2 linked regions of the Alligator mississippiensis genome follow. The protein of the gene in region 1 purifies or fractionates together with the protein of each later gene. This does not show direct contact. Links are inferred from orthologs where the notes say so. Each region holds a gene or a part of one and is shown on either strand. Other genes may lie near its edges.

Region 1 (7,923 bases):
GACATGTTCTCTGAACACTTCCATCCCACAGGCGCTGCAGACAGAGAGAATAGAGAGTAGCAAGACCATGAGCTAGAGAGACTGCATGAAGTTCTGGAGTGAACAAGCAGCAGACGCAGGAGGAGATGAACAGAGAGGGGTATGAGGGAGCTCACCAAGCAACTCTGAAGTAACAAACTGAGATCTTGTCTGACAAAAGTGCCAATGGACCACCTCCACACCTCCTCTGCGTCCCCTGGTCAGTGCCATGTTGGCAGAGACATACTCACTGGCAATGCAAGGCACAGGCATCATCTGCATCCTTGCCCATTCCAGACCAAGCTTGTACAGAACAAGGAAAACTGTGGCTAAATGTTCACAAGCCTCTGAGTGTTCCCTGCTCCCGAAGCAGCTTGCACTTTCCTTCAGGGTGCAATTTGAAAAGCGTTCATAATGCGGCTGGCAAAAGCATTGGCAAGATGCTTTTGGCATGTTTTTTTTCATGTTCTTAGCACACAGATTGTGCAGTGACTGCCCTTGTTTGCACTGAATGATTCCATTTTCTTTCTCATTTTAATTGCATGAGTTAAGGTGTTTATTACTCTTAACAGTTGATTTATTGAGAAATGATGCACCATGCCCCCTTCCGCACAGAGAAGGTATGATGGAAGGTTTGTATAGTGGTTGTTTACATGCCATTATCATTCTTCTAAACTGCACATAGTAAAAAACAAGGAAAATGAAATACGCACTCCAAGACTTAAGGCCCCTATCAGCCAAATGAGTCCAGTGGATTCTGGTCCACTGCCCCTTGGGAATGCAGATGGTTTGGTTTTCTTGGTGATTGTTTGGTGGTTCAGATTCAAGAGACCACTTACCTGGTGAGGCCTTCTCCTGTGCAGTACTCAGCACACACAGTGATGCTAGGAATATTTAACTCATCGAGGACCAGCCTAGTCATGAGGCACTGGTAGTGTCCATCCAGTAGACCAGAAGAATATTCAAGAGCCATTCTGTACTTGTTTTGAAAGCAGCTGAATCCTTCCTTAAATCACTAGCTTTGCCAAGTCCCCCAGTATCAATGCTATCAATAGCAATGTGCTTATGAAGGAAGAATGCTTTGTTTGCATCGTTTGGTAAAATCCTCTGCTCCTGAAGGCATGAGCACAAGGCACTTTCCCTGACCAGCTAGCAGAGGGGTTGGCAATGTTTTTGGGACAAGTGCCAAAAACACCCACAGCCTCAATTTGTAAGGTGTTGGCGTGCTGGGGGCAGATGGCAGAGCAGCCAGGAGGGGGGCCTGATCCTTGTTGTGGCTGCGCAGCCCCAGCCCCTTCCCCATCATTTGCCCCGAGGTGTGCATGCACACACTGCCGGCAACGAGTTAGACCAGGGCTCTGTGGACCCTGGTGCAGCTGCTTGCAGCCTCCTGGCTGCCTGCCACAATCAGCCCAGGCTCTGGGCAGACCACTGATGCCTACCGCAGAGCCCAGGCTGCTCGCAGGAAGCGATTGGAGGCTGCTAGCAGCTGTACTGGGGTCTGCAGAGCCCCAGCTTGGCTCGTTGCTGGCGATGGGTGCACGCGCACCTCAGGGCTGCGTTGTCACAACAAGGATCCAGCCCCTCGTGGCACCCTCTGTCTGCCCCAGGCATGCATGCCAAGCAAAAAGCCTTTGAATGCATGTCAGGGGTAGCTTACCCCTGAACTAGCATTAATGTCAGTAACTTTTCCCAATGATCCAACAGCACCTGAATAACCTTGAATAGCTTCCTGAATATGTGCAGAGAGGGAAGATTCATGAAGGGCAGGAGAATCAGGCTATTAGTCCCATGTAGTATCCATCCCAGTTCTCCAAATCCCTGTTTTTTCCTGCACAGTTACCAGTCACAGCCCTATGCACCAGGGAACACTGGATGGCTTTGCACACCTAAAAACCACCAGCATGGACTTTCCAACCTGGAAGTAATTGCTCACTGAACAGTAGCAGACCACGGTTACATGGTCCTGAGTGCAATCACCACCCATTTTTCCAGTCCAAGCAGCTCTCACTGTGGTGTTTCTGAACTACAGAGCTGGGCTGAGCTTGGCGCACAACTCCAGAATTGTGGCATTCCTCATCTAAAAGTTATGTGACCACTGTTGGATCACATCTGAGTCACAATGCTTGCTACTCCTGCTTAGAAATGTTTCAGCTGGTCAGTGACTGCTTGCAACAGCCAGCAAAATTTGTGCACGCACAGCATGTTAATGCACACAGAGTAAAATTGTGGGGTGCTGGCCCCAAGCAGCTTCCACACTGCACAAGTAACTGGCAATTCATTGCATTGGAAAGGGATGGGAGAAGGGACCGGACACTGTGAGACCTGCATTATTGTTTTCACAATTAAACTATATGTAACGAGGACACAGCAGAAAGATGCACAGTACTGGTGACAGGGCCACAGCACCTGTTGTAAGCTGTCAGATAGATGGTTGCATCACTTTCTGGAGTAGACACGGTATAACCTCTAGCTCCAAGGCCATTCTGCTCCCACCTATGTGATGTAAGGGGGAAAAGATGTGGTCATACCGGTGTCCCCGTCAGTCCAATCTGGCCCGCAGAATCTTCATTTACTGGTAAGGCTGTGTGAGGCACAAACACTAGAGATCGCTTTTCAGATGCAAGGACGACCCTGGAAGCTGAAAGACCACGAGGACCTTGTTCTTAGAGCTGGGCCAATTGAAGAAGTCCTGCCGAGGAACTAACCTCAACGCCCTGCTGCTGCTTCTCATATGAGACAGAGCGAGCCACGCTAGTCTGAAGCCTGGTGTTACCCTTGCAGGCTGCCTCTGCAGCACTGCTCCTGAGCCATTGCCCTTTGGCTCCTACCAATGCGGGAGTGGTGGGGACATCCTCTGGTGACCAAGATTGCCCAAGATGGTGCCCCATGGCAGAGCACCCATCTCCAGCAGGTACCGCGCCTTTCTGCCGCCCAGCTCTCTGGCAGCTGTGATGCCTCTCCAGCTGCACGCCAGGAACCCACCCAGGCAGACAACGGTGCTGTGGGCTTCGTCACCACCGCTCCGACCCTCCCACGCACATGACACAGGACCACACGCAGATGGATAGATACATTTTTAGTACCAATGTCGGCTGCCACGCCTGGGGGTGAGGTTGGCGGGGGCGGGGGACGAGACACTGCTGGGGGGTCTTTTGGTTACACCTGGAGGCACACAGCTGGGGGGATCTTCTGGTGCCAATGCCGGTTTTCCTGGGGAGAGACACTGCTGGGGGGGTCTTGTGGTGCCAATGTTAGCTATTTCTGGGGGTGGGGGGTACTGCTGGGGGGATTTTCTAGTGCCAGTGCCAGCTATACATGAGGGGGCACTGCTGGGGGGTCTTCTGGTTACACTTGGGGTGGCACTGCTGGGGGGAGGTCTTCTGGTGCCAGTGCCAGCTATACCTGGGAGGGGGCAATGCTGGGGGGTCCTCTGGTTGTACCTGGGGGGACACTGCTGCGGGGTCTTTTGGTTGCACTTGGGGAAACACTGCTGGGGGGGTCTTCTGGTGCCAGTGCCAACGATACCTGGGGGGACACTGCTGAGGGGGTCTTTTGGTTACATCTGGGGGGACACTGTTGAGGGGTCTTCTGGTGCCAGTGTGCAGCTATACCTTGGAGGACATGGCTGGGTTGTCTTCTGGTGCCAATGCCAGCTATTTTTTTTTTGGGGGGGGGCACTCCTGAGGGGGGTTTCTAGTGCCAGTGCCAGCTATACCTGGGGGGACACTGCTGGGGGGTCTTCTGGTGCCAGTGCCAGTGATACCTGGGGGGACACTGCTGAGAGGGTCTTTTGGTTACATCTGGGGGGACACTGTTGAGGAGTCTTCTGGTGCCAGTGCGCAGCTATACCTTGGAGGACATGGCTGGGTTGTCTTCTGGTGCTAATGCCAGCTATTTTTGGGGAGGGGGGCACTGCTGGGGGGGGGGTCTAGTGCCAGTGCCAGCTATACCGGGGAGGGGGCAATGCTGGGGGGTCCTCTGGTTGTACCTGGGGGGACACTGCTGCGGGGTCTTTTGGTTGCACTTGGGGAAACACTGCTGGGGGGGTCTTCTGGTGCCAGTGCCAGTGATACCTGGGGGGACACTGCTGAGGGGGTCTTTTGGTTACATCTGGGGGGACACTGTTGAGGGGTCTTCCGGTGCCAGTGCGCAGCTATACCTTGGAGGACATGGCTGGGTTGTCTTCTGGTGCCAATGCCAGCTATTTTTTGGGGGGGGGGCACTCCTGAGGGGGGTTTCTAGTGCCAGTGCCAGTGATACCTGGGGGGACACTGCTGAGAGGGTCTTTTGGTTACATCTGGGGGGACACTGTTGAGGAGTCTTCTGGTGCCAGTACGCAACTATACCTTGGAGGACATGGCTGGGTTGTCTTCTGGTGCTAATGCCAGCTATTTTTGGGGAGGGGGGCACTGCTGGGGGGGGTCTAGTGCCAGTGCCAGCTATACCTGGAGGGGCACTGCTGGGGGGTCTGCTGGTGCCAGTGGCAGCCACACCTGGGAGGACTTCTGGTTACACTTAGAGGGACACGGCTGGAGGGGGGGGGGGGTCTCCTGGTGCCGGTGCCAGCTGTACGTGATGGGGTGGGGGGTGCCGTGGTGCGGCGGGGCGGGGCGGGGCGGGGCGGCGCGGCGGGACTACATTACCCAGGCGCCCGGCGCGCACATATAAGCGGGCGCGGAGCGCGGCGGCGGGCGCAGTCAGCATGTGTGCGGGCGGCGCGCGGCGCGGGGCGGGCGGGAGCATGGCAGCGCCGGGTGGCTGCTGAGCAGGTAGGACGGGCATCCTCCCGGTGGCGGGCACGTGGCGGGGAGAGCTCCCCGGGGGATGCTTTGGGCACAGCCCGCTGCCCCTGGTCCTTCTCCTTCCTGCCGCTTCGTCCCTGGGGCTGGTCCAGCTGCCCTGCTGCAGTGGGGGCTGGGGCCCTGGCTGCTCGGGCTGGGCTGGGCTGGGCTGCAGGTGCGGGCTGCACAGGTGGGCTAGGCCCGAGGGCAGGAGACGGGCGGGCGGCCGTGGGCTGAAGCGTCCGGCTCCTCCTGGCAGGGCGAGGGGTGTCGAGGGCTAGATGTGGGGACACGGAAGGAAAAGCAGGAGTGGGATGACACGGGGCGCGTGTAACGGGGACGCGCGGCCGCTGGCGCGAGCGGAGGAGTGTGAGGAAGTCGCTTGTTTATGTGAGCTGAACTTGCTTCCCGGGCAGAGATGTTGGATTCTTGCGAGTCCCCGTCCACGGATCCGGAGCCCGGGCGAGAGACGTGCCGTGTCCTGGGCAGACGGGATCCGCGGCGGAGGCAGGAGCCGAGCTTGGGGGAGATCCAGCAGTCCCTTTCTCAGCCCAATAAATCACTGCGTTTGTATACTGGAAAACCGTTTTAGTTGATTGGGTGGGGGGAAACAAAAAATGCTGCCTGAAGTCAAGTGGTTCTGGATGAGACGGATGTAACTTGCATGTTTTCAGCTCGGCTGTTTCTCCCCCGCCCTGCCTTCAGAAAACAACCCAAGTACATGAGATTTCTTTTTTCAGACCATCTTAAGCTTGAAGGGACTCGGATTTGGGTGAGGCCTGCGCCTCTGCCACGATGGTTTAGGGGGAATGTGTTAGAACTAACTTTTTATAGCTTTTTTTATGCTTGACACGGAGTTATAGGGATGTTTTGTATTATGTAAACACACATGAATGCTATTGGAGAACTTGGCTATAGACGATCATATTCTTTAAATGGTCAAATGCTGGGCAGTTGTAACCACGACCCTCCAAAATATCCACCCACAAGTACTAAATATTTAGTGGTTTCCTGGACTACAATAACTAGACTTAAGGAGGGTAGGGAGGGGGTCGGGGAAGAAATCCAGTGCTTCGCAACTCTCTGCTGTTTTGCATCCTGTTGATAAAAGCCTAATTATTTGCTAGCTACTTTGGACATTTTTGGATTTGGTTGCTTGTTTAAGTCCCGTCCTGTCGTTCCTCTGAACATGTGGAGATATTACATCTGGTCTAATGCAACAGCTTGTGGTCTCCTAGGAGGAAGTGGGGGGGGGGGGGGACTTTCCTGTATAGTACTAAGTATGTAACAGCCAGTTTAGTGGAACAGTACAGGGTTAGGCCTGGCCCCCTGACACAGACACACCGTTCTCATGGCTGCATCAAATAATTTTGCCATCCAGTCCCACAGCCTGGGTATGTGCAGTGGGTTGTGCTGTAGGACAAAGTAGCAAATCAGAAAGACAACGGCCTGTGGACTCCAGATGTGACAGACTTCCTAAAATCTGGCTGCTGGGGCACAGGGAGTCCATTTCCAAATGAAAAGCAGACATGTTGAGATGTGAATTTTGGAGAAGTGAAGGCTTTGCTCAGGGTTGTTCGGTATCCCCTGTCTTCTTCCAACACTGGGCATATCTGTTGTGCCTGGACTGTGCTCACAACCTGCCTGCTCCATGTGTCTTACCCAGGGAGGGGGGATGCACTGTGGCCACTATTAGGGGTCCTGGGCCTTTGCAGTAATTGTTGTGTCTGGGCATACTTGAATGCTTCTGGCCCCTTGCTGGAGGACTATACTACTATGGTCTGGGGGCGGTCAAGACATGCCCTTATTGTTTTTGATAAGGCAGCAGATAAATTTTCTCTCAACAGGTGTGTGCATGGCATGCCTTCCCCAGGAGCCTATGGTTCAAAGCCCTTAATTCTGCACCCTTCTTGTTTTCTTGCTAAGTCCAGAGTGCAAGGGGTGCAAGATGCACCCTTTGAGACTTAACCTGCCTAGGACAAAAGAAATGCACTTCTGTGGATGATGAAATGGGCATTGTCCATTGTTTTGTTTTAAGCACTGCTTTGCTTGAAACTCATCTCAGGGGGTCAGAGTAAATGGTCATCAAGTACGCTGTTCCTGTGTGCTCGGTGGGTAACAATGCTGCATGCTTACAGTGAAGTGCCAGTGGCCTCACACCAGTTGCCTGGCCAATACTGACAATAGCTGTGAGCGCTGCCTTCAGGAGATCTGATATGACACACAGGGCATATTTCTCCGAGCTTCGCTTGTTGTCAAAGGAGATGTGAGCGGAGCGAGTCGGTCAGTGGAAAGCGGCGGTGTGGGCAGGGGTTCTGTATGTGGGTAACTTTGGCATATGCCAAGCAGCAAAGGACAGACTGAGTTGGTGGGGGGGTGCTGGATGAAGTTTGAGAACTGCTTCCTTGTTTTTTCAAAGCAGCCCTCAAATAGGGCCCACCTGGGAATCTGACCTTCTGACATGGTCTTTATTGGATGAATAATCCAGTTTGTTTTTTCTCTTCAATCTGCCATTCCACCGCTGACATTAGACCCGGCCTGTTTACATGAAAGTGTTTTCCGTCTGCTGGTAGTGCAGCAATCGTTAACTCTTGAAATATGGAGCTGTTTGGACCCCTTTTATGCTGGTACTCGGGAGGAAGTCAACAAAACAGTGTGATTAGCTTCAGTTTGCCTTTGAAACATGAGGGAGGAGCCAAAGTGTGGGAAATGGCTTTTTTTTCTCTGTAACCAGCTACTTTTACATACGGTCAGGAGAGGGTGGGGAAGAGAGTTCAGAAATAATTAACACCTTGTCAGTTTGCTTCTTCAAGAACTAATGCTGGAGCCAGGCATCTGTTTGGCAAGGTCGTACTGTCCTTGGACAAACCCTATTCAATGGCAATGGTGCACTGAGATCAGCAAGTAGAATAGGCTGTGTTATGAATTGTAGTTATGGTCTGTGGGCAAAAAAACGTGGAGAGTGCTGCCAGAGTTGTCTATGCTGCTTTTTTCCCACGATTCTCTCCCATGTCTTGAGGTAGAGTTGATGTATTTGTTGGCAAAGCATGCTGCAGTTCTGTGAGGTGGAAAGCATTCACAGGTATGTCCTGGTAGGGGTTATGCTTCTGAGGGCAGAAGG
Region 2 (7,671 bases), on another chromosome or scaffold:
GGTCCATCTCCCCTGGCTGCACCAGGCATTTTCTGTGGGCTGAGGGTTCAGTGTGGGCCTCATGGCAGTCGCATCTTGGCCACACGCTCGCAGCCTAAACACGGCGACCAAGCGGTAACGTGGAGGCCCCGTTAATAGCTCGCTTGACAGTGTGAGATTCCTGCCGCATGATGCTATTGTTATTATTGACCGATGTCCCCGCGTCTCCCAATAACGCGTCCGCCACGTATGGTACGCATGGAGGTAACCTTAAACTCCCAAGCAGGAGCCGTGGGGACACAGTTTTTCCACCTCTATTCAAAACTGTCAAGCGGTGATTAATGACCAACAGGCTTGAAATTGCCTTTATTGCCAGCTCGGTATTGTTACTTGTGACAGTTAATGAGGTTAGACAGACTTTTACACAGCACTTTATGGGGCCCCCAGTTTGTCTCCCGCAGAGCTTAACAACACCGCAAGCTTTCGTACACAAAGAGCAAAGAATGTTTGGTTTCCCCTAAGACAATAGACAAAGAGCCAACTCACTTTTAACACGGTGTTTGTCCACCTGTTATAATCCATTATCAAGCCTTCCCTTTCATGCTTTTATAGCCAGGGCTTGTAAAGGGCGAGGGGAAAGGTAATGAAATAAAATATTGCACCTTTATTAAAAGGGGAGTGACTTTCTTGCCCCTCCTGCAGACAGGCTGGAGACAATGGCGTTAACAAGCAGATTTCAAAGACCTTCAAACTTGTCTCAATTAGCTTTGCAGTAAAACCCACAGAATATTTTTATCCTGGCTGCACTTCTACAGGGCACCGAGGAGCCGAGGCTTGCAAAGAAAGCTCTCGAGTGCTGGAGAGAAGTGGCTGTAATGAACCATTTGTTAACCTAAAAAAACCCAAGCTGTTAAAAGCCAGCGAGATCTGTAGCAGACACCACCGAACGTTCCTGGCCTGGGGTCTCAAAGTAATGATTTTTTGGCTATTTTTTTCTGGGATTATTACAAATAATATTTACCTTTGTGCAAATTCACATCTTGATACTGTTAAGCACGTGGCCACAGATGGTTTCCCATTTAGAGTAATGATATAGGCTTGAGTGTTATGAAGCAAAACCTCATCTGCCAGCCAAAAAAACACCCTGCATTTAAAAATCTATTACTTTCCAATATTATACGAATGCATTTTGCTTCAGCTCAAAGCAATTTCCTAGTTTACCCTTATTAAACTGAGAGGGGGCTGAGCAGAGGTTCTTGATTTATGAAACACATACTAGATTCATTAAAACCTTTAAAGATTTAATACATTTTATCAAGGACTTAAATCTGGGCAAGCATTTAAAACATCTAATGCAGGGCATATTTCATCACAGGCGCCCTTTTGCACTTATTTAAAGGCTGTAAAATTTGGATTGACAAATATCATGGCTCTTTCATTCCTTCTTTCTGAACGGCGCTGAATTCTTCTGACAGGTTTGTAATATATATGCTTAGAGATCTATCGAGTGTAAAGATCAAATTATTCTCCTTTATTGACATTTTATATGTCTTTTCTATGTTTTCTAAGTCCCCTTCAACAATTATAGAAGCAGAAGATTTAATAGATTTTTGCATGGTCTGTCACTTTCCCCATTCTGGCTCCTCCGCCTGGCCCAACAGGCATCTAAATAGGGAACAGATTTTTTAAATCACCTACAGATTTGTCAAACCCAGAATAAAAGAGAGGCTCGGCATTTGTGACACGGTCTAACAGCCACTTTGCAGCTGGAGACTGACATTGGATTAGTGTCCATCAGGGGGAGTTAAGGAGTTTTTGATTCCTAAGAAAACTTGCTGAAATCTCTCCTGTATAGAGAGGACTTGGAAAAGAGAGGCAGGTTTTGTGCCTAACCCCAGGCTCACTTTGGGATGCAGGCTTCTCCCAGGTTGCAGGCTCTGCGGTTCTCTCAGTATCCCGGGAGCCCTGACTTTGCTAACCAGCTGTCACACCCTGTAACATGCCAGCAAAGGCCCAAATGCAGCCCTTACTTATCAGCAGGTAGGTGTGAAATCTGCACAGGTGTTTGGATCCTACGCTCTCCATGCTCCCTGCAGTCCTGTCCCACCTGGAACAGGAATTGCAGCTCTGCGGCTTTTGCAGAAGTGGTACCCGCCCTGCCCATCACCAATAGGGAGGCTTGAATCTGCGGTGTCTTTTGCAGGAAATTGCCCTAAACAGCAGGCCATAGGTTTGGCATTGTCCCAGGTGGCCTCCTGTCAAGATTGCTTCCCTGGGGAGCTACGAAGGGAAGATATATGGGGCTAGGAAATAAACAAGCTCTAGAGAGCGTGATAAGCAAAGGGGGGCACTGTCCTGGAAAACAGTGGGCCACAGGTTCTGGCCCTGGCCCCTGTGTTTTACATGCATTGGATAAAATGAACAGGGCTGCCATAAGGGAGCTTCAGCAGGCCTAGGGACTAGAAGCCAGACCCTCCCACACGCTAGGTAACACTTAGTCCTCGAAGCCCCACGCCCTCCTATTCTTCAAGGAAAGGGGCTATTGAGCACGGGAGCAAGGGGCACCACGTCTGAATCAGAGCTTCCCAGACCATCAGTGCCGGAGGCGGCAAATGGGAGAGGAGCAGCACAAGAAAACATTGGGTGGACCCTGTTTCCACTGCCTTTCAGTGTGCACTCTTGGCTGCCACGGACCTAGGCTAGGATCTGGCCCGGCCCATGGCAGTTATTAGGTTCTTTGCTTGGCCGATCTTCTGACCCCACACATCCTCCTAACTTGACTGCCTGATGAAACACCGCAACAGAGGGAAGGGAAAAGGCAGAGCAGGTAGGTCCCTTTGCTGAACACTTGACGACAGAAGTTCTCAGCCTTTTCTGGGCTAGGATCAAGTGTAGTTGTTGCTGCACTGGTCTGATACCTGAGCCAAAATGCATTTTAAAATGGCACTGTGTAGCAGAGGGTGCGCCCCCATCTGCATGCAAACAGGACTCCCTACAAGAGCCTCTCAGTTAGCTTCCCACTGGCCAGCTTCCAGCAGGAGGACCTTGGCTACACCCCAACCCGATGGCAATGGAAGACTCCTCCCTAGCTTGCTCCTGCGGCCCTACGGCTGAGGGCAAGTGAAACTCAGGGGCATCCAAACCCCAAACCTCTGGGCCTGGGCCTGAATGTAGGATGCCTGCCGAAGGATTTGGAAGTCTGCAGTGGAGGATACCTGTGGGTAATACGACCACGTAAGGCTTTTGAACAATTCAAAGGATTCAGAAGCGATCTGGCTAATTTGACCTGGGACACCTGGGAAAAATGTATCTATATATACGCACATGTGTGTGTGTGCGTGTGTGTAGATATATGTGTATATAGCTTCATAGACTTCATAGTTTTATAGATGTTGGGGTCAGAAGGGACCTATTAGATCATCGAGTCCAGCCCCCTGCCCTGGGCAGGAATGAGTGCTGGGGTCGGATGACCTCAGCCAGGTGTCTGTCCAATCTCCTTCTAAACACCTCCAAGGAAGGGGACAGCACCACCTCCCTTGGAAGCCTATTCCATATTTTGGCAACCCTCACTCTAAAGAATTTTTTCCTGATGTCCAATCTGAATTTGCTCTCCTTCAGTCTGTGGCCATTATTTCTGGTTACACCAACAGGCTCCCTGGTAAACATTGTATCCCCTATCTCAGGCACGGGCAATTATTTTGGACAGGGGGCCACTTACTGAGTTTTAGCAAGCCATCGAGGGCCGCATGACAGGCAGCCAGGGGCAGATTAATATTCATGTTCTAAGTTTTTTAGGGGCCCCGCGGGCTGGATAGAATGGCCTGGCAGGCCGCATCCAGCCCCCGGGCTGCATTTTGCCCACCCCTGCCCTATTTCTTGCTGCCCCCACCATGAGTTTGTAGGCGGCTTTGAGATCACCTCTCAGCCTCCTCTTGCGGAGGCTGAAGAGGTCCAGGTCTCCCAATCGGTCCACGTAGCGGGTTTTCTGTAGGCCTTTAACCAGATGAGTGGCCCTCCTCTGAACCCTCTCCAGGTCATATGTGTGTGTGTAGGTATATGTGTATAGATATGGGTGTGTGCACACACGTGTGTGTGTGTGTATGTATATGTATGTGTATTTAGTTTATATTTTGAAAAAGTTTTCAAAATATATTTTTTTATTTATACACACACCTACATGTACATAAACCCAGAGGTTCAAGCCGTGGTGCCTGCAGCTTACAGCTGGCTTGGAGGGGCAGGATCCTGGCAGGGGCCCCTCCATGCAAGCAGCCAGGGAGGCAGATGACTTTAGGTGCCCCAGCGCCCCTGCCCCTAAAGCCGGGGGTGCATTTTGGCCGGGCTTTGCTGCCCCCCTCCGGCCAGCCCCAGCAGCAGCACCGGGCCGCAGGCAGGGCGGGGCGGGGCGGGGCGGGGCGCGCTCCCGCGGGTCCTGGCGGAGGTGGAGCTTTGGCGCCCCCTGCAGGCGCGGCCGCTGGAACTGCAGGGCTGGGCTGGGCGGGGCGGCGCGGCGCGTAGTGATGGCGTCACCGGCGCGACACCCGGAAGCGCTGCGGCAGGAGGCGGTGAGTGTGGGCCCTGCGGGCCTGGGGAGAGCACGTGTCCCCGCCCCCCGGCCTGGGCAGCCCAAGGGCACGGGGGCAGTGGCTGGGGCCAGGATTAGTGGCCAGCCCTGGGGTGGATCCTCTTCGCAGATTAGCAGCCCTATTGCCTGCTGCCTGGGGCTGGGGGGAGACAAGGCCTGGGCCTCCCAGCCCCTGCCTCATTCAGGACGTCCGGCCTGGAGCAGCCCCCTCCCCTGTGCAGGGGCAAGCTAGGAGGCACCGGTGGTACGCGGCCTCGCTGCGCAGGCCGAGGACGGGGTTTGGGACGCACCTCGGCTAATGTTTGGCTGGGTGATTGCAGAGCTGCAGCCCTGGCACGGGAGGGCGGGAAGCAAAGGTTATTTGCACAAAGCCAAGCAAGAGCGAGAGGGGTCATGGCAGGACTCCCGGGCTCCGTCCGCTCCCTGCATTATAGTCGCTTTGCAATGGGGGTTGCGTTAGCTCTGCTGTCCCTGTTGGTCAAGCTGGGGAAGCCCCGACCGCCCAGAAACGCCAGCGAAGCAGGAGTGCAGAGTCCTGCCTCTGTTGCTGTTCAGCTCCCTGCCTGTAATAAACCTCTCCCCTTCATGTCCAGCTGTGACCATGCGTGTCCTCCTTTTTGTTACCTCAGGGCTTACTCTCAGGGATGGCTCAGTTAGGTGCTATAGCAGCAGTGACTGTGAGTTTTGTGGCTGCGGCGTTCTTCTCTGCCATACACAAAATTGAAGAAGGACATATTGGCGTTTATTATAGGTAAGAGGCCTGCAAAAAAAAAAGGGGGGGGGGGGGGTTGGTGTCATGGTGTTTTGAAGCTGCTGTCCTGGAGATTGCTTATCTGAAGACAATATGCTGGTCGACTGGGGCAGAAGGAGGAAAAGATAACATTTGCACTCCCAAATTAGTAAGGATGTGTCCAGCTTTAATCGCCAGAAATCCAGTATCTTATAAAGTCTGAGTTCAGTCATCATTGCTGTCCACAGAAGAGTGGATGACAAGTGCCTAAGACTTAAATTGGCAGGAGGCTTTCAGCTCTGCTCTGCTCCAAAGCTTTTGATGTTATCAGTAGCGTTAGCAGAAACACCAGAAGTTCAAGTTCTGGTCTCAGCAAGCTGTTGTGTGAAGAAAGGAATAGCAGCACGCTGGTGAGAGCAGCAGGCCTGATGCAATAATGCCAACCTTCATGAAGACATTGCGAGACTCGCGATTTCTAAATCAAAATAGTTCCGACTCATGATCTCCCAATCACACCCTGAACTCTCCAAGTTTTCGCAGCTGGTCAGTCCGTAGAGGGGGGGCTGCCACAGATTGAGGCCCCTGTGGTGAGGGAGGGACTTGGGCAGGGGTTGGGATGAATGGGGCCCTGAGGCTGGGGCAGGTCATCCAGAGGTGTGGAGGGAGGGGGCATGGCTCCCTGGAGCTGTGTGTATCCCTGGGGGAAGCATGAGGGGCACATGCCCCACATAGAGCAGAGGCAGGCTGGGGCTCTGTGCCCTGCTGCCCTTGCCCTGGGAGCTCAGCCATGTGATGCCAGTATGTTTCCTGGTACTGGGCAGGCAGGGCACGTACTGTGTAGCCAGTGCGCCCCGCATCCCCTGCCTGCCCAGCGGGCAGCAGTGGTGTTGCGCTGCTCCTGGAGCAAAGGCAGCAGGGTACAGAGCCTTGAGCCGGCAGCGGGCAGCCTGCCTCTGCCCCATAGAGGGCACATGCCCCCATGCCTCCCCTCGGGGTGCGTGCAGCTGTGGAGAGGTGCTCCCCATCACAACACTCGATAACCTGCCCCGGCCCTAGGGTTCCATTCACCTCAGCCCCTGCTCCACTCCCTCCCTTGCTGTGGGAGCCCCAATCTGTACCCCACTTCGCCCCTTCCCCTCTGCTTACCAGCTGGGTGCTATCTGTGTCTGGGTCTCTGTGTGTCTGCCCCTCATTCCCAAATCACAGCCCCCCTACCCCCTGCTGCTGCCCCTCTCTCTTGACCCACAGTACCCTGCATCCTTCCAGGACGTTGGAGCTCCTTTCCTGGGCTCCAAACCCCACACGCACACCCGCAGCCCCCCACACCTTCACTCTGTTGGCAGATAAGATGCAACACTGGCAGTGCAAAGCCGCCTTCCCTGTATTCTTAGCCCTGACTTGGGAGGATCTTTCCTGTGGTTCACTCATTGCTCAGACCCTCCGTTGTGGTTGCTGGTGAGAGGGCAGAGTAGTGCTAAGTGCAGTGATGTTTTGTGGTATGATTGCTTGTCCTTTGGAATCTGTCTCAAGACTGTCTCCCCACTCGCTGGACAGCCCTCGAGCACTAATAACTTCTGGTTCCCTCCAGCCTGGGCTGGTTCTGTAGTAATGATTCAGAAGAGAAAGGTTCCTATGCAGTGTACTGTATCTAGCTGTTTGTTTTTAATCAGTTGCCTTTATTCGGCCTCCATCCGCTTTCTGAAGCTGGCAGGCTTTCTGCCTGTCAGTCAGTGGTTGGAGGATTCACTGCTCGTATTTATTGTAGTTGGGTTTTGAGTGCAATTGTGAAGAGATTTTCAAACCCGCTATGTCTGCCATGTCACAGGAGGAGAGGCGTGTTTGATACCGAGGGGCCTGAATGCAGTTTGTGGTAAAGGAAAACCAACTGCCAAGAGGAGTTTTCCATTTATCAAAGGCAGGGTGAACGCATGCGGCTCCAGTGCTTCCTTGTTTAAAACATCTGTGAGCATTTGTGTATTCACAGAGCACAAACTGCTGTGAACTTAAATCAGAGGAGGAAGCTATCCAGGCACAGCTTACAAATACTCAGGTGTCTGTCAGTGCTCTGGGAGTGAAGGGCAAGGCTGGTTTATCATTTCAGTGAATCTGTACTTTCGTGCTTCACTTACGGTATTAGCAACTTATTCTGATGCAGCCCCGTTCTGTCCTTCTCTCTCTTCCTGCAGAGGTGGTGCGCTGCTAACATCAACCAGCGGACCCGGCTTCCATCTTATGCTCCCCTTCATAACCTCTTTCAAGTCTGTTCAGGTAAACTTTCATTTGTTTGTTTAAGGCTTCTGCTGAATGTCTGGGGAATTTCACCCCAGAGCAGAAGACCAAACACACCCTATAAATTGCCTTCTGCGTGGCATTTCCA

Evidence for each region.
Region 2: the proteins of ITPR1 (region 1) and ERLIN2 purify together in Homo sapiens (affinity purification with western blotting, with the first as the bait; 4 studies listed by BioGRID). This does not show direct contact. The link is inferred for Alligator mississippiensis from reciprocal best matches to the Homo sapiens genes ITPR1 and ERLIN2.

Annotation. Positions count from the first base shown.
Region 1 is NC_081835.1:11,702,006-11,709,928, forward strand, and holds the start of ITPR1 (inositol 1,4,5-trisphosphate receptor type 1), read left to right. Parts: upstream 1-4,716; 5' UTR 4,717-4,790; intron 4,791-7,923. UniProt on the Homo sapiens protein: Inositol 1,4,5-trisphosphate-gated calcium channel that, upon inositol 1,4,5-trisphosphate binding, mediates calcium release from the endoplasmic reticulum (ER).
Region 2 is NC_081830.1:21,398,954-21,406,624, forward strand, and holds the start of ERLIN2 (erlin-2), read left to right. Parts: upstream 1-4,485; 5' UTR 4,486-4,499; coding exon 4,500-4,544; intron 4,545-4,573; exon of another isoform or gene 4,574-4,808; intron 4,809-5,193; coding exon 5,194-5,315; intron 5,316-7,480; coding exon 7,481-7,562; intron 7,563-7,671. UniProt on the Homo sapiens protein: Component of the ERLIN1/ERLIN2 complex which mediates the endoplasmic reticulum-associated degradation (ERAD) of inositol 1,4,5-trisphosphate receptors (IP3Rs) such as ITPR1.